Linked DNA regions of Drosophila melanogaster. The protein of the gene in region 3 interacts with the protein of the main gene of each other region in a pairwise test. Each region holds a gene or a part of one and is shown on either strand. Other genes may lie near its edges.

The links. Proteins that work in one complex are often made in the same cells at the same time.
Region 1: the proteins of CanA1 (region 3) and l(1)G0004 interact in a two-hybrid assay, tested with the Drosophila melanogaster proteins (one large-scale study listed by BioGRID).
Region 2: the proteins of CanA1 (region 3) and Eip63F-1 interact in a two-hybrid assay, tested with the Drosophila melanogaster proteins (one large-scale study listed by BioGRID).

What each region holds. Positions count from the first base shown.
Region 1 is NC_004354.4:20,387,849-20,394,565, reverse strand, and holds l(1)G0004 (lethal (1) G0004), read right to left. Parts: upstream 3,120-6,717; 5' UTR 3,031-3,119; coding exon 2,308-3,030; 3' UTR 2,165-2,307; downstream 1-2,164. Other genes in the region: Syx16 (syntaxin 16), read left to right, coding at 924-1,004, 1,079-1,212, 1,275-2,118; jb (jean-baptiste), read left to right, coding at 3,798-4,126, 4,183-4,311, 4,376-4,376.
Region 2 is NT_037436.4:3,928,974-3,936,788, forward strand, and holds the start of Eip63F-1 (Ecdysone-induced protein 63F 1), read right to left. Parts: upstream 4,665-7,815; 5' UTR 4,310-4,664; coding exon 4,274-4,309; intron 2,024-4,273; coding exon 1,985-2,023; intron 1,880-1,984; coding exon 1,840-1,879; intron 191-1,839; exon of another isoform or gene 44-190; coding exon of another isoform or gene 25-43; intron 1-24.
Region 3 is NT_033777.3:31,036,541-31,047,423, reverse strand, and holds CanA1 (calcineurin A1), read right to left. Parts: upstream 8,051-10,883; 5' UTR 7,876-8,050; exon of another isoform or gene 7,440-7,875; 5' UTR 7,286-7,439; coding exon 7,114-7,285; intron 5,881-7,113; coding exon 5,549-5,880; intron 5,461-5,548; coding exon 5,349-5,460; intron 5,147-5,348; coding exon 5,001-5,146; intron 4,944-5,000; coding exon 4,726-4,943; intron 4,666-4,725; coding exon 4,572-4,665; intron 4,308-4,571; coding exon 4,182-4,307; intron 4,036-4,181; coding exon 3,954-4,035; intron 3,707-3,953; coding exon 3,629-3,706; intron 3,370-3,628; coding exon 3,285-3,369; intron 3,220-3,284; coding exon 3,122-3,219; intron 3,034-3,121; coding exon of another isoform or gene 2,878-3,033; intron 2,821-2,877; coding exon of another isoform or gene 2,644-2,820; intron 2,584-2,643; coding exon of another isoform or gene 2,434-2,583; intron 2,379-2,433; coding exon of another isoform or gene 2,319-2,378; intron 2,130-2,318; exon of another isoform or gene 1,863-2,129; intron 1,359-1,862; coding exon 1,033-1,358; 3' UTR 603-1,032; downstream 1-602. Other genes in the region: CG33920 (uncharacterized protein), read left to right, coding at 2,319-2,378, 2,434-2,583, 2,644-2,820, 2,878-3,033. UniProt on the Drosophila melanogaster protein: Calcium-dependent, calmodulin-stimulated protein phosphatase which plays an essential role in the transduction of intracellular Ca(2+)-mediated signals. Many of the substrates contain a PxIxIT motif and/or a LxVP motif.

The DNA of each region.
Region 1 (6,717 bases), on a different chromosome or scaffold from region 3:
CCTGACTTTTCCACCCGCACTTGAACTCTCCGTTTTCCGCGCTTGCTGCTTTCGGGTCACAATTGGAAGTGCCAGTTACCAGTACAATGCAATTTGAAATCAAGGAATTATTTTAAAATGAAATAAAATTGTTTGATGGCAATCGATATCAGGGGGAGGTGCAAACTGACTGAGCTATCAAGTAATCGATATCAGGGGGTCGAGCCATCGATATGTTTTGCCTTTCGATAGCTCTTCAGTGTTCTTAAGTCACAGGCTTGTGTCACGGATTAAAACCCAGTACAGTGGAAGCTGGCTATTAGAAAACGTTAAGCCAAACTCATAATGAGTTCCCTAAAATTCTGTAAATTTGTAATTTTTAAACATTAGCCTAAAATGTACTTGATTCTAAAATCATTTACAATATCATTCGGTTATATTACTCTTTCGTAACGCAAAAAAAGAGAACGCACATAACAAATTATTGAATACTTTTATTGTACTATTACGGTCGTTTTATTGCTAAAAGTATTGCATTTCAATTTACGTGACGGTGTGTACAGAATTAACTTTATAAATTGTTGAAACTCAACAAAGCAATACTATATTCTGTAATTTCCGAATATTTCTATTGGAGCTATCCAATCCGTATATTGAAAAAATCACTTTCGCAAATAGGATGTTTAGGAGTATACATATAAAGTACAGATTCTACAGATAATAAGAAAATAATATTTAAAATAAGTATAATTCTCGGACATGTAACGGTGCGTTCAGGCCAGGGTGACCAGTTCGTCGTGGCGACTATCGGTATTCTGGGCGAGCAAGTCAGCGGGCACACTGCGCTGCTGTGTCAAAACGAAACTGGAAAAAATCTGATTGAGTTTTCAGCGGACTTGGATCAATCCTTCCAATCCCCAAGAAATCGGGAGCAGACGGCCAGGATGACGTCGCGCAACCTGACGGAGGTGTTCGTCATCATGCGCAACAATGCGTCCAAGAACCGGAATCACTACGACGATCGGGTGAGTGCGTCTCCGTCTGGGGTCTTCACTGTTATCATCAACTAACATATGTTTTGCGTTTCTCCGTCTTCCAGAGGGGCAGCGATGCGGAGCGCCTTCTAAAGCACTCGGTGCGCGAGGCGGAGGAGGGACTGGAGCTGCAGGACGACTACGGCACGCCGCCCGCCTGGCTGGACAAGTTCGAGGAGGCGCAGTACACCATGTCTAAGTGGGTAAACAAACAGTAGTCCATGCGCAGGGTTCAACTTCACTCCCATCACTCGTTTGCAGGATCAAGCCTAAGCTGGATGAACTGGGCTCCCTGCACGCACGCCACCTCCTGCGACCCGCCTTCGATGATCAGCGGGACGACGAGTGCGACATCGAGGTGCTCAGCCAAATCGTCTCCAAGCTGATCACCTCCACGCACCGGCACATCCAGTGCGTGCGCAGCAGCATCGGCGTGGGCAGCAAGATGGAGCAGTGCCTGACGGTCAACGCGGTACACTGCGCCCTGCTCCAGCTGCAGGAGCTGACGGTGAAGTTCCGTGCCAGCCAGAATGCCTACCTGCTTCAGCTGAACTCCCGCGAGGAGCGCTCGCAGAAGTACTTCGACGACGGCGGCGGCGCTGGCGCTGGAGACGTCTTCACAAACGTGGAGCTGGGCGAGCAGAGCGCCGAGAACTTCGTCGACTCCTTCGACAACTTTCTGCAGCCGCCGGCGGAGGGCAAGTCCGGCAACGGCTATCTGTTCGAGGACGACGAGCAGGCCATCGACGATCACTTCCAAAGGCCGCCGGCCAGCCGGATGACCCAACAGCAGCTGCTGCTCTTCGAGGAGGAGAACACGCGGGTGGCGCAGCACCGCGAGCAGGAGGTGACCAAGATAGTCAAGTCCATCTACGACCTGAACGACATCTTCAAGGACCTGGGCCACATGGTCCAGGAGCAGGGCACTGTGCTCGACCGCATCGACTACAACGTGGAGCAGACGCAGACGCGCGTCTCGGAGGGATTGCGCCAGCTGCACAAGGCGGAAATGTATCAGCGCAAGAACCGCAAGATGTGCGTCATTCTCGTCCTGGCGGCGGTCACATTCTTCATGCTGCTGCTGCTCATCCTGACCAAGCTCTAGTTGCCCACGCGCCTCCAGTGGGCCGACCTCATTCCCGTCATTCGCTGTGTGTGTTTGTGTATATTGTAAATGTTTGAATACATGTTATTATATTTATTATTTATTGCTAATGCTAAAAAAAAAACCGCAACTACTCCCTCTCAAGTCGAACTCCACTCCAGTCCAGTCCACTCCAGTCCGCTCTCCCAATCACATGCGCTCCGAGAGGCGCGAGGCGACTGCCCGCAGGTTGCCATACACCTTGCTGGGCGGCGAGCCGAGGATTAGGTTGCAGACGGCCCGGCGCGCAAGCTGAATGTTCTGGTAGCTGCCCAGGATGTGGATCTTGCTATCGGCTAGCACGATGCGGGTCTTGGTCACGTTCTCGATGGTGAATTTGGTGCGGCCGCCCTTGCCGGCGAGGCGGCCGATGGCGCGAGACTGGTGGTCGCCGCGCAGCGTCTTCACGTCCTTGATTTCGAACGACTCGACGAACAGGTCCTCCAGACGCAGCAGGGCCAGGGCGTCGTCCACCTCGAAGCCGCAGAGAAAGGCGCGCACGAAGTCGGCGCCGCGCTGCAGGTTGGCTATGTCCGGCGTCTCGGGGCCCACACGCAGCTCCACCTGGCGCGCCTTCATGTTGAAGCGGATCTGCAGCTTCATGTGCTCCACCACGGGCGTAAAGATCTTCATCCAGTGCTCCTTGAGCGAGGAGTACCTGTGTGGCGGCACGGATACCTTGCGCAGCTCGCTTCTGGCCCGCTTTGCCTTGGGCGGCGCCGATGCTCGCGAAGATCCCAGCACCTGGCCCTCAATGCCGGTCGCCTCGTCCACCTGCATCTCCACGTCCTGCTGCCCGCCTCCGCTGGCTCCGCGCTTCGTCGCTCTCTTCGCCGGCTCGAATGCGTCTGCTCTGATGTTCTCTGCCTCCATGGTGCAATCTGTTGTGCTTTTACTGCGTTGTTTCCAATAATTTCTCAATCCAGCTGCTTTGTCTGCTCCACGTGCTCAGTGTGACCGCGCTCGAATCTGAGATTTCAAATACATCTGTAGCTGAATACCACACCACTGAATTTCGACGAAAATACCAATGCGTATGTACAATTCTACACTGGCTAAAAAGTATGTAGAATGTAGAATTCCGAAATATAATACGCCTGAATTCTTGATAAGAAACATCATTGGATTTGAAGGCTGATTGAAGTGCGAATTCATATTTGATCACTCATTGAATTATTGCTGTTTCAAAAGTAATAATTCAAGTACAGCCTAAAGCTATAAGGTGACGTCACTGTCATATAGAACAACACAATGTAAATTCTCAAAAGATGGCAAAGGGTACCGAAAGGAATAATGGTTTCTGTTAGGCCCATATATATGTATATATATACTGTTATATATATACTGTTAATATATAATAACAGTATATATGTACATATATACTTAATCTTAATTTTGGAATCATATTCAGATAACTGTTAATCAGCTACAGACGAGTGGGATAAATATAATTTAAATATATCATAATAATTTTATAATATATATAATATAATTAAATATAAATCATTTTTGCATAATTATTAAATGCAACCCTTTCATTTTCAATCAATCAAAAGGTAGCCTATTTTTGACATTTGGTTTGCTTTGGTCCCTATTGAATTCAGTTCACATCTAGAACCCGTACCGGAGAAACCATTTCCATGTCACAACGGAACTTCAAGATGCCAAATCCGAACAACGAATCCCATTCCTATTTCCTCCGGAATATTCCGGAAGAATTGCAGCCTCAGTTTACGCGTGGATTCAATCAGTGGATGGGCAATCAGTCTACGATGACTAAGGGTTTGCCATCCAATACAGTGAATAAGTCTGCCCAGACGGCATCTGTCAATGATGGCAACTTGCAAGCTAGCGTGATCGCAATGCTGGCAGGAATGGACTCGATCTTGGACATGGAGCAGCCTAACAGAAGTCCTTCGCGCGAAGAGCACGAGCGCCTAAATGAGCTGTTGTTCAGCAGCAATTTGCTGTGAGTTGAAGTAATTCGTGGTGAGAGTCCTGACATAAAGTTCATAGTTTCATTAGCATGCTGGACGTAAAGAAGCGAACGTTTCCCGTGGAGGACCCAACTGGGTATTTAACTTCGGTTTCAGAGCAAAATCCAGATGGGAATCCGTTGGCTAAGCGACTAAAGCTAGAGCGTCCTCAGGGCTGGTAAACAAGTCTCACGAGGAATTACCTTCATTCTACACATATTCAATCATACATATCTTTTCAGACACTAATGACCAATGTCTCTTCCTCAGAGTCTCTCAACCATACAGGACATTAACGAACCATTAAATAAATCACTATAAAAATAAATCACAAAATAGTTCAGAAGAGCCGTTTTATTTTACCAGTTAAGGTCGGTAATTGAAAGAGTTTCGCAAAAGAGGCACGCAAAAAGGTATACATACATAGCTCATACACCTTTAGCTTAGTAATGGGTATCCGATAGTCGATGGTCGACGTGGAGTATGTGCATATGTATATGTGACTTTTTAATATATAAATATACATATATGTATGTGTTGTGTGAATATAAATTCGTTTATAATTGGGGAACGGCATTAGAATGCGAAAAGGTAATATTATTAAGTGAATTTAATGTCAAAAAGGAAACCATGAGTGTCCTGCGTGGCATAGCAGCTAGCTTTTAGGCCTGTGCTCGCCAATCGTTATCGAAAGATGGCAATCGAGTAAGCGGGTAAATTGAAGTTTAGCCGCAGGCGGGTATTAGGTTTTCAGATTAATGGTGGTCAGCGTAGGCGGCGCTCCTCTCGCAGCCATTAAAAGTTTCTGGGGATGCAATGGGACTTACTTTTGCATCAACCGCAGCGATAAGAAGGCCATTGCAATGCCTCCTATTGGCCTGCACTTGAAGCAAAGTTAAGTAAGCCAAAGTGGAGTTAAGTAAAGTTAAGAGCGAGTAATGCGGCCACCGCAGGCAGGCGATAATCTCAAGCTTGCAATTGCACTGGCAATTTGTTTGTTATCTTCTCCGTTTCCGGTTCCCCACGCCCTTTCTCGTATTTCTTCTCTTCCACCTCCTGACCCTTTTCCGGCCTCTTGGGAAACTTTTCCATGAGCATGAGCTATTTGAATAAGTACACTGGACAAAACTTGCTTAAGAACTACGGAGTATTGAAGATGCAATTTATATATATATAAAACATACATACTTAGCATCTGCTATCTATTCGGATATTGCAGACTCCATTGAGATCCAGTTTCTATTATCTAAATATTTTTTTTTTTTTTGTTTTGGGGTTATTCAACACACTGATGTGGTTTGAATATTTCAAAACTTGGTACGTTGAAGTGTTTATTTTCTTTGTAAAAATCTTGATTTTGATACAAACTTACAAATGGTTATAGTAAGAAGTGGATTAACCAGAAACTTTTCGAGTCAGTTAACGATGCACGTTTTAAAAAATAATTGTGTATAGCATCAGAATTTACCTACTCCTTTCATTTCGATCGGTGTCCAAATTGTTGATACACTTATCTGGGCATTTAGGCATTTGAAACTGGGACTGCATATATCCGCCAACCAGCTGAGCTCAGTTCCTTCTTTTTTTAACAGTGCAAGGAATTCGTGGGCGATATGAGTGCAAATTGCGTTGGCTTTCATTTGGCATGCACTCATTTGGGTTATCTGCTCGCCCACTTAATAAGCTTAATGACTCTCGAAGCCGTTGGCTGCACATGATTTTGCCAGCAAAATCGCCTAAAAGCGCTCGCCGCTCGAGTTGCGCCACGCCCACTTCAGCCGCACCGCCCACCTCGGAGATCCTTGGTAGCCTTGGTAGCTCCGAAAACGACGACGAGCGCGAGATGAAAACGCGAATACACGCGCAAGGGCCTCAAAGGTTTTGAACGAATTGCACCAAAGTTATAATTAGTTGAGCTTAGATTCGGGCCAGGACCTCAAAGGCGAGCATGTATCCTGCGTCAGCCACACGGGAAGTAAATCAACAACAGCTACGCCCAAACTGAAGTACATATTTCGCAATTAGGCCGCGATACTGCCGGTCTGTTCGACATTGATTTGGTCAAACGCAGATGTGCATTGATGGCTACGACCGCAGTTTGACTTTGACTTAAGTGTATGCACATTTGGCCAGCAAAAGTCATATATACATACATATGTTTGTACCTTTTTAATACTCCGTGCCTGAGTCGCAGTCGCAGTCGCACCCTTGTTTCGCCAGGATAAGCCGCTTAAGCGTCGCCTATTGCGGCTCCTTCTTTCCGCTGCCACTTTGCTGGCCATTAGTATAAGGTCCTGCGACACAAGGTGATGCTGCCCCGACTATTTGCCAAATCCTATCACTTTTGGTCCAAATCCTTGCGGCTCGAAAGAAACTGAGGCGATGTGCAGAACAAAAACAGTGTCATCCTGCAGCGGTATAATGGACAGACACTAACACGGGCATCATTAGCTGAATAACCATATTTATATATTCACCGTCCCATTTGCGGGTAGTTCATTGTGGCTTCTCAGGTTGAAATGAAAAACGTTCCATGTCTTGGGCCGGATCATGGGAACTGGACAGTCCAGATTTTCAAAGAGGC
Region 2 (7,815 bases), on a different chromosome or scaffold from region 3:
GATTGGTCACCACCTGATACTCACACTTATCATCTTTGCTCATATTTCCGAAGCGAAAAGACGCTAATTTGCCAGGTGAAACTGGTTCGATTTCGCAGGTTTTCGAACAAGTTTGGCGCACAAGTGCGGCACTATCGGGCGGCCAATCGATCAGTTTATCAGTCAATCAAGCGGGCAATCAATCAATCAATCACGGCTACAGAGAGACACTCGAGGGGCACTTCCGACCGCTACATAAGCTGGCGATACTCTGCGAGGGCGCGAAAAATAACAATGCTGCAGGAATGCCGCGTTACCGAACGATTTATCTACGAAAACTCCCAAGATAATGGCCTGAAGTGAAACGAACTAACCAGAACCCAACCGACTTTTGCTATATTGTATTATATTTCATTTGGGTGATAGCACCCGCCGCTCCCCGCAGATAACCGAGCGACTTATCAGCCGGATGGCAGTGCCCAAATCTGCTGGGTGGGTGGATTGTTCTATGGGCGATGGGTAAATGGGTATCTGGGTATCTGGGTATCTGGGATGGGTTGTCTGATTTCATTAAGTACTAGTCTATATGTCGTAATCGTATTTACTCTCACTCGGATTGCTTGCATTATCTTGATTTCAGTTCTCTGATTAACGGACACTCTGAGTGAGCCTTAGCCCCAAAAGTATCTGTGAGGTACTTGGGTAGTACTAGTAGCTCAACAGGTGTCACTTAGATAGTAGCATAGTTTAAAGTAGCTGCAATGCATCGATGAACATAATATAAAGCAATATCTTCTTTCTACAATATAAATACTGTCCGCTTTTCTCATAAAATGACTCATACTCCATATGATTCCCTGCTGCGTTTTCCACTTTAAGGCCAAATATTTGCCGGAGATCAACAGCTGAAGGCAATGTCAAATGAAAGTGCCTGGCGCCGATTTAAATATGACTTGTTTGGCTTGTCAGCCGGGGAAAAATGTGTCACTTGAATGGTGTGGGATCAGCATCTTATCTGATTCGTCTTTCGGTGGTAAACACTTTTGGCTGCAAAAATCGCAGAGCCAAAATTAAAAGCCTTATGGCAGGTATTTCGTTACTGCTCCACTTTATATATTTTGTTCACCGCATTGGAAACTTTATTTTCGCGTTAATTGGACACGTGATGCGGGGGTGTCAGCTATCTGCCGTCCTCTACACCCCCGTCTACTGCGATTCCATTCTTTGTGCTATCGTTCGTAAAAAAAAGAGGCGCGTTAATTAAATTTCAACTCGATTATGGCTATCGTGATTAGATTAAGCCGCATTTCTGCGGGCACGGAAATTCAAGATACAAAAATAGCCAAAGTGCTGTATACAACTGCGGATCCATCCATCTTGAGGTGCCACAGTGCACCTGTCCCAAGAATATCTAAAATTAGTGGTGCAACAATTAATGGGCTGACATGCAAAAGGCGGTCGGCAAATTTGGCTGGCTAAATTTACATGAACAACCACTAACCAAAAGTATAATCTGAAATCTGAAGTATTAAAGAAGCCTAATCATTTTTTTTTTCATTCATATCAAAACCCAACAAACATGAATACTTTTCCATGGCCGCAAGAAATATTTTTTGACACCCTGATAGTGTGCAAAACGAGATTGTGTATACGCAGCGTGGGCCCGGCCAAGAAATGGCAGAGCTAGCTGCTTATCTTAGCACACAAATTGGCTGTAATTATGAATAATCAAATACTAGATAGCCACGTATATTAACCCATATTTTGTTGAGTTTTTCGCAGAAGAACAGAGGTCACTGTTCGTCTTGTTTGTAAATAAACAATTTGTCTGTTGATTTGTGGTTTGATTTGGTTACTTACCTTTGATTTCCACCTCCGTAAATGGTTTCTTTTTGACAGACTGTGAAATGAAAAAGCAAAAAAAAAAAACGAAACGAAAGTGAAAATCAAATAAATACCGACCAGTCAAAATAAACCGATCGATCCGAAATAATTTCGTGTTTACCTTGGTGGCCCGTTTGCCCAGCAATGCTGTACCCAGCATCTGTAAAACAAAACATAAAGCAAATAAAACATTGAGTATACTAAGTAAAAGTCAATGAGCTAAGGGAAAATATTAGCAGAAGTGTAAACGAAAGTGTAGCATACTCTTCAGCTGCGGGGAAAATCAAAAAGGTATTTGCGGATGGGCTAAATGGATATTTTTACATTTAGCCAAAGGTTTTTTTATTTTTGACATTCTTGTTTATTACGTTGTTCTTGGTTTATTTTAGCACCCACTTGCACTTGTTGTTTTTCAATCTATTTTCACTCGAGGAATTCCGAGCATCTCAAGTTAGCGAAAAAGAAGTGCATATGCATTTAGTGGGCTCTTTAAGACCAATTCGATAGCATCAACCCCTCCATTTAGACCAAATCTGAGGAATCTTGGCAGGGGGCTGGCCAGAGTGTTCGTGCCTACCATTTATTTATTTCCCAATTTATTTCTAAATTACGTACTGAATGGCAAGCATTTCAACTATTTTTGATTAATTGCAAAAATGAACCAGCAAATGCGGTGAAAGTGTTTACGCAAATATATCCGAATATTCCAGTATTTCCATTTTCACAAACAATGCTGATTTCAAATTCATTTAAATTGTGTGCAGATGGGAGAAGTTGATTACACTTCAATTAAAGCATGACCTAATATATATTAATTGGTGTTGAATATAAACATTTGGTTAGTTAATTTAGACAATCTAAAGGTTGCATGAATCACGCATTGTTTTCCTACGGAATAGGCTTTTATTTCTGTTTGTAATCCTACATAAAGTTCATAAGTTTAGTGTGGATGATGTTCACATGGCCCACATGGCAACCATGTAAAACCTTGTCCGAGGTTAGTTACCTTAGCCAACTGCTGCTTTATGGGCTTAAAGCGAGATAATAAATGCAGAGGTGGCATTGCTCACGTGCCAAGAACCATACAATGTAAACAAATTAATAAATTTGCGCAGAATCGGCGTTATAAAGCTCGTTTAATGGCATTTTTCGTTGACACTTGTTCAGGAATTTCCGAAAATTTGTTATGCTCCACAAAGCTGTGCCAACATCATAAATTTGCGGCTTGTTTGTATAAATCTACGATATATGAAATAAACTTTGTGTCGTCAATTAGTGAATTCGAATAAACAAGTATCAAACGTTGGACCTCAAACAAAAGCGAGCATAGTGGGCTCACATCATATTAAAATATACAAGTATGAAAGGTAGGAAAAAAGTTAATAATCGCTAGTGTTTATATTGGCCAAGTAGATACACATACGTCTATAAACAATCACGTTTTTAATGCCTTCAAAAGCACTGAAGCGCATTTTGTACGCCAAAAATCCAGAACGGGCACATTAAGAAACCATTATGATGCCCCTCCGCAAAAGTCGATTTTCCAGATATATACATCTATATCTATACTCATATACCTATATGCCTTTTATGGACGCTCGTCTGTACTTTTTAATGATGTGTTTTGGCTACAAAGTTATGGGCTGCGACAGCGACGCATTTTATGACTTAGGAAAAAATGAATGCACTCTTGTGGAGCAACTTTATGTGAGTCGCGCACATACGCTTTCAAATTAATTATCGTCTGTTCAGATCTGAATAAAATATAGCCGACGGTTCCACTCGATTTGGGCAAGTTTGTTGAGCTCCTATTGGAAATATACTTTCCGAGAAACACTTTGGCCAGCATACAGAAATTTAATATTCGACAATTCAAAATAATATTATAAGTATGCATTTTTTCCATCTTAAAATAAAAGGTTTCCAAGAAACCCGCTACCATATAGCTCTTAAGCAATTAAGTGTCGTACTTCGTATATCATTTTGTTTAACATTAATTGCTAGCAGACAATAAACCTGTTGCAATATTTATTCGCGCTCTGCGTAATGGGTTAATCTAAATATTTGACAACTAACAAATACGATCTGCCAATTTAAATGTACCTTGGCGACCCTGACAGGCGAATGTAGTACCAATATTGTTATTAAAATTATTTATAGCCGGTAGGCGAGAGAGGGATTTAATATTTGCTCATCATAAACGAAATAAAAACAAATTGTGTATACAACGAAGGCAGCTTTAGTGTCTGCCAGACGGAGAATGAAATTTGTTGCCACCATTGAAAAGCGATTAGGTAAATATTTATGCAAATGCAAGCAGGTTTTGGGCTAAAGACTCAAGATCATCTGGGAATTAGGGCTCATGAAGATCGGGTTATCCTATCGATAAGAAAATAAGCATAGTACTCACCTTTAGCTGTTGGCGCAGTCCGCTCATTGGGCTCATTCAAGAAGTGATAGCTTAGGTGGGGGAATGAATGCGGTGCCGGTGGCGTATGAGTAATATTTGGTTTCAAATCAACTTTGGCCCAGTTTCGGCTCTATTTGCCAGCACTTGAATGTGTATTAAATGTGTTAGCACTCTTGTCACTGGGCACAGTAAAATTATCCAGCAATAAAATGTGTTTACTTTGTATTTCGTATTTCCCCTCGTCGCCTGCGTATTTATATCTTAACTTTTAAGGGGATTATAATGATGTGTGTTCCTTTTTGTTTGCCTAATAATATAGCGCTTGAATTTATTTTAGCAGCGCGCGCGACTTTTTCAACGATCGTCTCGCCACGGAATCCCAAACAATATTGAGTATTCTACGGCGCTCCAACGATCAAAATGCTGCCAAAAAAAAGCGAAAGCCAAAAACAAGTTGGCGAGAGAAAAGTTGAGAGCGGTATTCCCGCTCTTGCCAGTTTTATTTTTTTTTTTTTGAACCAAAAATTTTGAAATCTCGCCTCGTTCTGGGATTGCCATTTGTTCATCTGCGTTTTTTTCTTTTTTTTTTTTTTTTTGATTTATTTTCATCGATTTCGATGCTCGTTCGCTCTTTGTCAACGGACGGCTACAGCCGGCATAAAATGTAGATCTTCTGGCGCGGCGATTTTTCAATGAGTGTATGCGTTTTTCTACAGAAAGAACTGTGCCATCAGAAGCGTATGAATAGAAAAAAAAAAACACTTGACCAAACACGTTTCCCCATATCTGTTTATCTGTTTATCAATGCGCCTAATGAGCAGGGCGAAGCGATCTCAAAAACATCCAATTCCGATGTCGCCTGCATTGGCTTAGATCAACACTTGAATGGCTATTACATAAACCGGGGCAAACGGCAAGTGTTATATTTAGTCGCGAGTCATTCAACCCGGCTGCACATGAGATGACAAGAAAGAAGTGCCAGTGCGTTCGTGTGCCCACATTGCGTATGAGCTATTTTTACCGATCGACAATCCGCCCCGTTGGCTGCACTCAAAAAGCGCTGGCAGACGGCGACGAAGCTGCGGAATCTTCGATAATTTTAATTAGGCAGCTGTCGCGGATCGCTCAGATTGTTCAGGTGAGCTGTCCAAAAGTGACACATTGCTCATACGCCGTGTGGGGTCAAAAAAAGCTGAAGCTTAAAGGTTAAAATAACACTCGAATTGAATTGAATTGCTGAGCACAGCTGCTCAAACATTCGTTAATCCTAAAGTTCACTCACAGTGCAAGCTAAATTTTAAAGATACATCGTCTCTATATATTGAAATATGTTTAATTTTAAGGAGATATAGTTGCTTTTAGAGAAGTTTTACTGTAGCCTCACGTTTCATTTGGTTTTTTATGTGTATTTAAAAATTGCACAACTGTTTCGAAGCTGTTACTGAACTCCTTATCGATCATTGGCATTATCAGTGGATGACTTTACCCCCCGATGACAGGGAACAAGAGCATCCAGGGATCGCCGTTTCCATCAAGATCGCTTCAGTTCGGATGGCTTCTAAGCAGAGACAACCGGAATTGGACTGTTTACGAGCTCATTATCAGCTCATAAACATGAAAGCGGCAGCCAGACACAGATATGTTATGAGTTATTTATTTATTGAAAGCATTTATTACTATTTCTCTAAAGGAAAATGGAAAAAGGAAAACGGGGTAATAAGCCTTTGGCCAAAACCGTGTGAACGGCTAGCAAGAGAATTATGGTGAGAAATCGGCGAGTTGCTCTTTATAGATTTCCAATGTAAATATTTACAATGTTTATTTTTAAACCATATATGTACAGATATAATATAGATGTTTGTAGTACATCGCGTATGCATGTTATGATCGTGCCAGATAAATATTATGAAACTTTGCTGGGAGCCCAGTGGCGGATCCCGTGATTTGCCCTGGACTTTAACGGGGTGTTAATGACTCTGGGAACGGCGTTTAGCAACTTAAGTTAGTTATCGGCGGAAGGCAAACAGAAATGTCGCACTTAACCGGGTCTTAATGACCCAGCCGTGATATCATCGATAGACAAACACACGACTGGCGGCCAAACGAAGCGTGAAAAGTGCCCAAGGTCGAGGGGCAAACGAAAAAGCGGAACTCTAACTGGGCAAAAAGCAGGTGCAGTGCCAAACGAAAGCCAAAACGGTTAGCGAAATCTACGTGCCTACAAATCCTGCGCACTTACAGCGAGCGGATTTTCACTGATATCCTCTGGGTCCGCAATCTTGGCCAATTCGGAACACACACACACACTAATGGATTTGCGATGGATTCGAATTCGAATCCCGAGAGATTGGGACACGCGACCAATGGGACTCTTTTTTTAGAACGGATGGTGCTGTGGCCGCCGCGCCGACACTTTTTGTACTGCGTTGTCTGCAGCGATCTGCGCCTGTGATCAGTCACATAAATATGTGTCCACTAACTAACGAGACGCGACCAAGCCCAAAACGATCATCGTTTGCGTACACTGCAAGGAATTTTCAGACGAAAATGATTTCAATATAACAATCCAACTACCTTTGGAGCATTGAAAATGAACATAAATATGTAGAGTGTATAATTCATGACAATATAATCTTTAAGTGGTTCTGCATAATATCATCGTGAAATTCCTCTAAGTGCATACATATTATAAACAAATGCTTAATAAGTAAATATCAAATTACGATATATTTGGTATATACTATTTAATAAAACCGATCCCATTTATTTATGAAAATATTAGTTCCAATATATAATTCATGTACGCCTTAGATCATTATTTCGCAATAAATCAGTTTTTTCTTTCAGTGTATGTCAAACAAATGTTGGGTCGTGGGTGTTGCCAACGGATTCAGCCGCTGTTATTGTTATTGTTGTTCGTGCCGCTGTTAATGGGCATGCGTGGGAAATTCTGGTACCGACAATACCCTAGAATATTTTCACTGTCTGATCGCACGTGTAACTTTAATTACCCAATTATTGACCCGCAAACACAGCGATTTTCCGCCGAAAAGCGTAGGAAAATTTCGAAAAACCAATGTTTTTTATTGGTTCCTTGCGAACTTTTTCGATCGAAATTGTGATTTATTTATAATGGCGAACATTTAAAATTAAATTCGTTTAAAAATAGCCCAAACGAATCGGTAAAATAAGCAGAAAAGTCGATTTATGACGGGATTCCTTCGCAGCCATGCCAGCCATTAGGGCCAATTTGTAAACGGCAACTAATTTGGCCCACAAATAAACAGCGAATAAAATAAAGGTGGGCCAAGTAAGCCAATGGGATTAATTGTGATTGCAAGGCTGATGTTGTAAGGCAATTAGATTGATTTTATTATTCGATTAGCTTAAAATTCGTATGGCCTACTAGTTACAAGAGTCAGAGTTGAAGTTGAAAATCGATTAGATATCGTTGTGCGCTATGCTCGTTACTCTAGTTTGTCTAAGGACTACATATCACATATCCGGATATTATCTGTATTCTAGTTAGATGCTAGTAAAAA
Region 3 (10,883 bases):
TTGACTGCATATGAATGAGTGTGGTGAATAAGAGGTCTGCCAGTCGGAGAAATCGTTATTTTCCGGTTTCGCATAGCATCTTACAAGTAAATAATTAAATGATATTAGCAAAGTTTAAATAGTGTCGTATAATCAGTGTACTTAACGCTTTCCATTAATCGTGAAATCGTACACCATAAACGTGGTAATAGAAAAGCATTGGGGATGGTGATGATAGATGGTCGACATACAGAGCGTTGTAAATCTTAATCTGCTCCGCCGGGCTATCTTTATGCCCAAACAGATAAATTGGAATAGAATATGGGGAATGGGGAAACTTCCACTGCAAGTGACGCGCTTTTTGGACCCGTTCATTCCCCTCTGTTTGCATTTAGTTAATTATTATTACATCGGGTCGTGCTGATTTTTACGCTTGACTAGAGAGCTCAAGCGATGTGAAGTTGAAGTGCACCTAAAGTACATAGCTGGGTACAGCAATTTTTAGATTAAACCCATACTTATCCGTTCAAGCCAAGGTAAAACACATAGTCTCTGCTTTAAGTTATTTTATTTTTTCCCTTCTCAAAAACTAGATAGACAAAAGAAGTATCAAGCACTCATTTGTTTAGCTATTTGTAGCCACCTTTTATTAAACTGTTTTTCATGTCACTTATAAATTTTTGCTAATATCGCCCGGGAGTTTTTGCGGAGAGATTCTATAAGTATGCACCTGCAATCGAAAGCTCAGCAATCGCAGGGTGCAATTTGTTGGTTTATGACTAGCATTAGAGAAAGTTGTTGTATAAAATTTTAACTACAGCTAAGGTCAGGCACTGAAATAAATTGGCGCAAGCTAGTGTCCTAGTATCATGTTTATCTATCTCATATGAGAAGTTATCAGAACTTTGTGTCGAAATTAGAATGTGGCAACAGTTTGCGTTAATTTATGGCCACGTCTGACCTTACCCTAACGAGGTGTAAACTTAAATGGGTAACAGAAGGTCGAAACGAAAATGATAGAAATCAGTGTTGAGCAGGCAAGTGCTTCACCCCCTATGGGAACTTCTTGGCGGTGAATCCTGCCCGCACATTACTGGTGGTGGCCGATTTCACAGTCGTCCTGCTCGTTTTGGTTACGGTTGCGGTATCATTACTGCTGGTGTTGCTGATGTCCTTTGTCGTCGTGGTGCTGCTGGTGTTGCTGTTATTGTTGTTGTTGTTGCTGCTGCTGCTGCTGCTCCTTGTGACCGTGGTGATGCTGCTGCTGCTGGCACTCATCAAAAGAGGACGACGGGGCGGCATCCGTTCGTTGACCGCATCCAGGCCCTTGGCCTCCGCAAAGGAGTGGATGTGCGAGGATGCGGTCAGTCCTTGCAGAGCTGAGGGTTCATAGAGTCGGACGGGGATGGGAAACAGCTCAATTAATAATCGGCGTGGCAGTGTCTTGGCAAAAAGTTTCGATTAAACTAATCAGGAAGGTTTATTACTTAGTTATCTAGTAACAAGACAGCATGCTATAGCCGACTACCCCGATTATATGCCATGTTGTGGACGGGTTATATTCGGTTTTTAGATTATGCTTAATCTCAACCTTCCTTTATAGTTCCTGAGATATTAACGTTCATACGGACGGACGGACATACGGACAGGGTCAGATCGACTCGGCTATTGATCCTGATCAAGAATTTATATTATCTCCTGCCAGAGAAACACTTTCACTCTATGAGTAACGGGTATAAAAACGATGGCTGGTCTGCGATCAGCACTGTTTAATTGGCCGCGATAGGCAAATAATTAAACCATATTCAAGCAAACATCTAGATTAAAACTCGCTACAAATCGAATTGTAATGGCTTTTAACTAGTCTTCCTTTTAGATTTAATCGAGCCATTCTTTTCAAGCGCTACAACGGCTATAAGCCATTCATGTTCAATGTCACAGTGGATGCCTGCAGGTGTGAGTAGGTCCTAACACTTTGTGTTGGCTAACTCGAAATTGATCGATTCTAGCACGATTTGATTGTGGAGAAACTGGAAATTGGCTTTGTAAACCATTAAGGAACAAAGGAGTTGCCCTTTTCCGAAGGAGCCTACCAACTGGTAACCCACTGGATTGCCTACGACATCGACTGAGTTGTGGTGAAAGTATTTTAGTAGACACTAAAAACTATTTTTTTTGATAACAAAAACTATACTAAACTCATTATAATGTGGGTTCATTATGATTTTCTGGCTTGGTGGAGCTATTAATTGCTTTGTAAATTGTTTTTATGTTGCTGATTCAATAGAATATTAATAGGGTTCTGTAAACAACTTACACTGGTTAGTCGATATCGAAAGATGGGTGTAAATCATTGTGGTTTAGTGGCGCTTTTGGCTCTTTCAATTTCAATAGTTGAGGTAAGAGTTATTAAAATATTAGGTATAATACGAATCAATTCAAAATCTTCCTCAGATATCATCGAAATTTGAGTTCACAAATATCATGTGCAATTCTTTGGATAAACAGTTTTCCGACTTTGAGTATTGCTACATAAAGTCGGTTAATCGTAGCTACAAGTATGTGTCGATCAAAGCAAAATTATTTAAAACGCCAATTACCAAAGTCAAGGTATTTAAATAATTTGGTTAACAACATTTTCTCTTCTACAATTACTCTTCTCAGATCAACGGAGTAATTCTCAAACGATTTAATGGATATAATGGCTATAGACCTTTCATGTTCAATATCACATTGGATGCATGTAGATTCATGAACAACACAAAGTCGAACCCGATAGCCAGTTACCTTTATGATTTCATTAGGCCCTTCACCAACATGAATCACAACTGCCCCTACGATGTGCGTATATCCCTAATTAAATCCGATCTGTGCTTATGTTTCTGGTTTTCTATACAGCACGATCTCGTGATCGAAAAACTACCCATACACTTCGTTAATCACCAGGTGACAAAGGTCCTTCCCGTTCCTGAAGGGGATTACCTATACGAAACAAATTGGATGGCCTACGACATAAGGAGGGCTGTGGTCAAAGTGTACGGAACTATATCCTGATTAATTTATAAGGCATATGTTATAATTCAAAGTCCCTACACGCATTACATCAATTTGATCCTGAGAATACCTATGTGTGTTGACTTACCCTCCTTGAGGGAATCCCTTCCGCCGGACAAAGCGCCCACTGGCAGGGCGCCCGTGGGCGTCAGACCCTTCAGCTGGAGCACGCTCTCGGATTCCTCCCTGCGGGATGTGGGAATATTGAATTATTTAGCTGAATCCACGGGATTATAGGAGGCATTATGCACCTGAGGATGGAGAAGACGCGCGACATCTTGCCAATGGCCCGAATCTTATTCCGAATTATCTCTTTGCGCAGCGCCGACATGGAAGCTGCGAATTGAGGGCTCGATTAGACGGAATCTCGCGGGGTCACGGGGTAAATGTAATGGTAATCAGCTGGAAAACTCGCTGAAAAGCCGATCAAAGCAGGGCGCAAGGCAATAACTAAGCTTTTCGCTATCTTCGCTCAGGCGATTTTCGTTGGCTCAGGCATTTTTATTTTTGGCAGTGGGAGTGGCAATGGCAGTGGCATTTGCATTGGCGGTACTGTTTGGCTTCACTTTGGGCCTGCGTTTAATACCTGGCTTACCTGGCTTACTGGGCGTATTATTGTTATTGTTATTATTGCTCGCGTTCGCCGGCACGAGCACAATTTTCTTGCGTAGCTCTTTTGGTCGTGTTTTGGACGTGTTTTGAGTGGAAAGTTGGTGGTGGTGTTGGTACAGAAATTATTATGGGTGTTGGTAGTAGATTGCAGTTGTCGTATTTCGATATTTGGTTTCGGAAAATATTTTTAATAGAAGATTAGTTTGTAATTCACGTGTATCCGTATTGGCCCCACAACATCCAAAGCACTGCGACATTGACACACAGTCTAGTACGGACAGAATCGCTCTGTGGATCCCCAAACTTACCTTCCTCGAGCTCGTCATCGGGTCCGGCCACCAGTTCATCGTCTGAGCAAATGTTCAGGATGTTGACTAGCATCTCGGTTACCTTTGAATGGCATGGTAAATTGGATATTAAAATCACGTATAAAGATTTCAGACACTTTTGAAAGTTCTAGTTCGAGTATTATGGCTTAGTTCCATCACTGAACTCAAAATACATAGATAATCCCACCCGATTGGGTGCGAACCCACCTTTTCGCCCACGAAGGGCAGCGACCATGTGAAGACGTCCATGAAGTTGGGTAGCCAGTAGGGATGTGGCGAGCAGTTGAACTGGCGGATATTCATCACGTTGTTCTCGTACTTGAGCACAGCTGCCTTTTGTCAAATGGGTTCGATGGTTGACAAAATCAGCGCGAGCGGAGAAAGAGACGGGGCGAGTGCCGGAGAAAGAGATGGAAGAGAGGGTATTGCGAACGCAGCGCGATTTAAACTCGCACCAGCTCGCAATGCAGCCAAAAAAAGATTTCGTTATTTAAAAATAGCAAAGTCAGGAACAACAACAGCAAGATAAATAAACAACCCAGAAAGAGATAGGGTGAGCAGGGTGAGCAGAGGGAGAGAGGTGGAACTATCTCATACCTTGTTATTGTAAACATCCAGATAATTGGGGGCGGAGAATATGGTGATCAGCGAGGGGAAGCCCGTAACCTGGTTCTTCCGATACATGCGATACCTGAAGCGGAAGGAGTTCGATAATCATATGGATATTACACCATGGTACTTCCGATCCTACCCCGCATCCTGCGCCTCGTGCGCCCTGACTATCGACAGCAGGTTGTTCTTCTGCAGAAACTCACAGCAGGCCGAGTAGCTGAAGAAGTAGGAGCACCCGCGCACCGAGTTGTGCGAGAAGAACTCGTTGGTCTTCTCGTTGCCAAAGTCCTCCAGAGGATCGGACCAGAGCAGGTCGCACATGGGCCCGTAGGCCGGTGGTTCCCTGAAGCGATTCAGCTGAGAAAATCCGCACAGATGCATTATATTGTAAACATTTCAGCGCTGCTTTATTACCGTCTTGATGTCGTCGAGTGTGAAAATCTCGGGCGACAGACCGCCGTGAATACAGAGGAACTGCTGGTTGAGGAGGGCGGCGAGGGGCAGGCAGTCGAACGCTTCCATGCAGGCGTCGTAAATACTTTCCGAATACTTGATGATGCCTTCAACAGAGAAAAATTAATGAATTAGCGACGGAAGGAGATTTATAGCATGCATATTCGCACTTAAAAGCGCATTAAGTTCGTAAAGTGACTGAGGCATGCAGGTTTGCTCATTTTGTAGTTTATCTATATCAACGGGAAACAAATCAACTTTCTCATAACTAGCAAATTCTGGCATTAACTTCAGTTAAGTCCAACTTACATTCCTGCTTGAAGGTAAAGTACTCTGTGAGATGCCTGCACTCGTGATTTCCTCGCAGCAGGGAAAGCGTGGTGGGGTAGGTTATTTTCAGGGACCACAGGTAGAGAACGCACTGAAATTAAGTGGACCGTTTAATACAAAAATGGAAAACGCAGTATATATTCCTGATAAGTTAAGATACAATTTTCATATGGACCCACCTCAATACTGAAGTATCCCCTGTCCACGTAGTCGCCTAGAAAAAGGTACCTAGTGGTGGCCGGCGGGCCGCCCACTTCGAAGAGCTTTACGAGATCGAAGAACTGCCCGTGGATGTCACCGCACACGGTAATGGGTGCCTCCACGTCGATCATGTTCTTCTCCTCGCGCAGCAGGGCGGCTCCTTCGGTGATGATCCTCAGGGCCACCGCCTCCTCGATCCGCCCCTCCAGCAGAAAGTGCTGGCGCAGGGCGTCGAAGTTGGGTTTTCCGGTCTTCGGATCGTCGTATACCTCCGACATGGTCAGCTTGTGGGTGGGCGGAAGTGGAACATCTAGGGGAGTAACAAAGAAATTAATCAAATTATTAAGTAAAGATTATTAAGTAAATTGTTATCACCCATTTCCAGAAGAAGAAGCCCCTGGATTCAATTGTTAATTATATATTGTATCTTGTATCTTATATGACGTGAATGGAACATCTCTTTGAAAATGGGGTTTCTCGTATTGTTACAGTTCCCCTGAATTTTTTTCGGTGTAGTCTTGCATTGATAGAATTATAATAAACATCGCTGTCCGACGGCGATGTGGGTTAACGAGGTGCTGCAACTTAGCGCCAATATTCATTCGGTTTGGCCGCTTTTCTTGGCCCGGCTATAAAGAAAACCGAAATTCCGCCAGATGCAGCCACATGAGATTCGTACGCTAATTACAAAATTTGACTGAGTGAATATAAAAGTCGAAAATTGATTGGCACACACAAAACAAACAAACGTAATCGAACACACACACACATCGAAACGTCAGGGCGAACGCCATTTTTAATTGTCATAATTTGGGTAAATGTCTTGAATTTTGACGCAATGGCCAATAAAATGCCAATGTACTGCAGTTGTTGCTTGTTATGGGTGCTCGAAGATAATTAAATTAATTTTTATGGACTCAATAAACCAAAGAACAAAAGCGAGTACCGCATTTTCAGTTAAGGGTTTTAAGTTACGATGCCGAATAATTGATTAATAAAAGCACATTTATGGCAGTTGCATCGGAATATATGGGTTATTAAAAATCTGTAAATTATTTATGTATAAATAATGCGCATAATAAGCAATTATGCATTGTAAAATGGTCTGTAAAATAAATCGATTGAAACTTGCTCAAAGAACATTTTTTGAAATTAGATAAATTTACATGAGCTATAAAATGTTTTCCTTTCTATGTTTGTTTCCATTTCAAAAGTCCATTTATTAGTTTTTAAACATGAAAACTTAACGATCGATGTACTGCTCCTCGAGAAGGTGCAGCCATGCTATTGTTTTGAAAATTACAAGCATGACTTCCCAATTCTCAAAACACACTTTTCGAAACGCTTGCCTCCGCCGACTGAAATGTTCAAAGGAAATAATTTGTGAAACCCTCAGTTTTGACATTAATGACGGCGGTCAGCACATTGGAATGCCATTGAAGCATGATCGCATGTCATTAAAGATACAATCGCAGTAGGGAATCGTGCTTGGGATAATGCTTGATTGGGGTCCGTAGTGCTTATAGAGAGTAGAGATCATTACCATCGACCATGCGCTCCCTGGTTTTTGTGTACTGCATTTTCTGTTTGTTTCCACTGGCGGCTGTCGGAGATTTCGAGGAATTCGACGAGGACTTTGCCGATTTGTCTGAACTAGAACTTTTTGATAGCGATGATTTCCTCGTCACCGAACTTCGCGTGGAGGTCGCCGACATGATGCTTGATTATTTATTCGGCCCCTGCTTTTTGTTAAATTTTTTATTTTTTTTTATTAATTTTTCTGCGTTCTGTTGGTGCTGATTTTTGCGATGCCTTAGCTCGATATATATTTTTTAATGGCTTGACTGTTTGCTGGTGCTGAAAGTGTTACTAACACAGGAATTTAGATAATTATACGCCTTTGCCTAGCGTCTTTATGGACGACGAGACACCAACACAGAAGCGCACAAAACACACAAATATATTTAGGCAATAAATAAAACTTGTTGTTATAATTTGTATAGCTGTGGACTTTCTTGTATTTTTAGCCAGGCAATGCCAATATAGCGAGATAGAGACAACTTTCGCCCGCAGCGCACACGAAACAAATGTTGAACAATTAATATTTCAATTTGCTGCAATTATTCAGAGACGTATTAACTTTTCATTAAGTCATCACATTGTTTAACGGATGCTTTTGGCAAAGGGTAAGCAGCACTTCAATTGAGACGGAAAATTGCTCGACACTTTGTGCTAATTGCCCACAAAGCGAGCGACAACGAAAATAGCAATGGATTTGCGAAGAGACGGCCAGACAGGCACACACATATATCACTTTGGTCACACTTTGTTTGCAGTTCGCCGTTTGCCGCTTGCGATTATTGTTATTATTTTCGGGCTAATCCTTTGGGGATTCTCGGGGCCTTAGTCGCGATGATTTTCACGGGACACGACGCAACGCATTTCCCAAGTTGGCGCGACGCGATTTTCCTCGAAACTGAGCGAAATTCGCTGGCATCGTTTGGCATTCAGAAGACCCAATTTGAAAGCCCGAAGAAGATCGGCTGTGATCGGCCGATCTCACGCCCTTGACTCCCACTCTCCGCCGAAAATGAAAATATAAATAAGAATACACCACGCTCTCGTAGGGTTCCATCTATTTGTTTATTTTATTGGGTTAATGTCACACACGCACTCTGGTCTCTTCTTCGTATCACTGCCCTTCTGCGATCGTCGACTGGGCGACTGACTGCTCGACCTTCACAGACATTTACACATCTGTGATATGTCCACCCCCATCCCCATCTCTATCCTCATCCTCATTTCCACCTCCATGCCCCATTCCATGTCCACATCCGCTCTCAATGATTTTCAACTTGACCGTGATATTGATTGTGTGTGCGTGCGTCCGAGTGTGTGTGTTTGTGTGTGATTGAGCGCGAGTGTGTGTTTGCCAGAAATTGGGCGCCAATAGGTGGGTGTCGCTATAATTATAGTCTTGACTTTGTGCGCGCCTCGTGCAAAAATATATGCGATCTACAATTAAAAGGGGGTGTTTCGGTTCGGATAAGATTTATATTTGATTAAAAAAAAAAAATTAAAAAACATAAGAAATCAAAAGCTTTTATCTAACGATTTAAATTTAAATAAATACAGTTTTTTGGGTAGTACATTCAATATAGTATAGTAAGTTGATTTTTATATATATTTTGATAGCGCATTCGCGGTTCTGCTTTTCATTTGAATGCTTCGCTGGTGGAACCGATTTCATGCAACTTTTATGCGAAGCGTGGCAATATTTGCGCAACTATCTGTGTGGGGATGGGGATGGCCACATAAAAAACACAGCCACAAACAATATGTGTGTTTTGCCCCGTCAATGTTGTTTGTCGCGATGGTCAATTGATATGTAGTACGATTTGGCTGGGGAAGCGCTATATCGCTCGACAGACAGACAGTTCCATAATATATGCTGGGAAGGATGGATCGCCCGATTTCGGGCACTCGGAATCACATTCGGAATCTCCGAATCGGAATCCATTGCAATGCCAATGCACCCGCTGCCAGCCAAATGCGCATCGATGGCACTTGGATTTTCGATTTGGCAAAGAGCGGAGACGATTTTACTTGGACGCCCCCGCGTATTCGCAAGTCGCAGAGAGACAAAAGCGAGTCACACGACCGCCGCAGACTAGAAAGAAATACTTTCCGGTGCTAACCAGTGGGTGGGATTGGATTCGAGGGGGCTGTAAGTGCTCAGTAAGGGGTGCGGCGGGGTGCGATGGGCGGACCGATGAGAGCATTGCATTCCCAACGCGAAATTTTGGCAAAAGCGCTGACAGCTCAGCCCAGTCCAGCCCCCCATCCTTCTTGGGGTATCCAATGGCAATACGGGGTATTTAACTTTCGAAAGTGTCGCCGAGGAATAGAAGAGCTCAATAAGTGTCACTATATATTTTCAATCACTAATATGTTTCAAAAATATCATACGTTTGTGCTGGCATTTAAATAGGTATTTAAGTATGGTTTACTACTCTACTTTATTGTTTAAACACTGAGTGCGTGGAATAGTTGTTTGCAAATTAGAGTTATTGCAAATACATACGATTAAGTTAACCAACCATCGTACTGCTCTTCCCTTTACATCAAAACCTTGTGTTTCCGATCTGCGGCTATTTAAATAGCCCCAAAATGCCGTTGGCAGCGCATTTTAGGCGCAATTAGGAGGCGAGGCAACTGCGGTCAGCTGGCCGAGATTAAGTGGCCGACACCCGCAATTGATTCACCTCAAGATTATCTAAATTAGAGACTAGCCGATCGCCATGGCTAGAGCAAACGCTGGGGATTTGCTAAATAATTTGCCAGTCAAGTTGAGTCAAGTTGTTCGCATTTCAACAGATTTCGCGCCTGACACTTTGAACACCCGTTTCGTCATGTCGGCATGTCACTTAGTCTTCGGGCTGATATACATTTTCTGCGTTGGACATGGCCAAAATAGAAGTGCCAAAATAGCAATAGCCGCGCACTGGCCGAGTATTTATAAAACAATGTTTTTTATGCTCGCACGCAGAAAGCCAAACGGCGCTTCCTCTCTCTTTTTGCACATAAACAAAACGGCAGTGAAATAAAAAGATAATATTGACACGCAACGCAAACATTTCATTCATTGTTTCAACTTTTTCGGCAATCGCAATCGCAATTGTTGCTGTTGCTGTTGCTGTTTAGTTTCTGGCGCTGTATAAACAATTCATTTGAGTTATGTGACCACAGGCATGGGGTTATGTGTGAATGATGGCCGATTTGTGGGCTATTCGATGGCTGGCAGAAGGAAGCACCAAAGCAAACACTTCCTCCGGGCCAGCACTTAATTTAAATTAATTATTTGCATTGATTTCAAAGCAAATAAATTGGGGCGAATGTCCGTGTGGAAAGCTCAGCAGATTCAGAAACCCCGACGAAAAGCTCTTTTCTTCAAAACGAACGGCTCAGCTCGGAAAAATTGCTCCCACACTTTTCCGGGGGGAAAACTCCTTATGTCTGCGGCTGTCGTTTTACAAATTGATAAACTTTTCAGCTATCAGTGCTTATGTATCTTTCTGGTCCAAGCCTTCGTTCCCTCTTAACCTTTGACCCTTTCCCGAGCCCCTCTGCACCATTTCATTGTTTTCCCTTCTGAGTGCCAAACATTTGCCAGGCCGAAAGTTTTTTGCGCTCACATTTGTTTGCTTGGGATTTGGCAAAAAAAAAACCGGAGCCAAAAACTTCAAATATAAAAAGGCAGCAGAAATTTTATTGAATTGATTTATTGACTTACTTATTTGGGCGCTCAGCGCT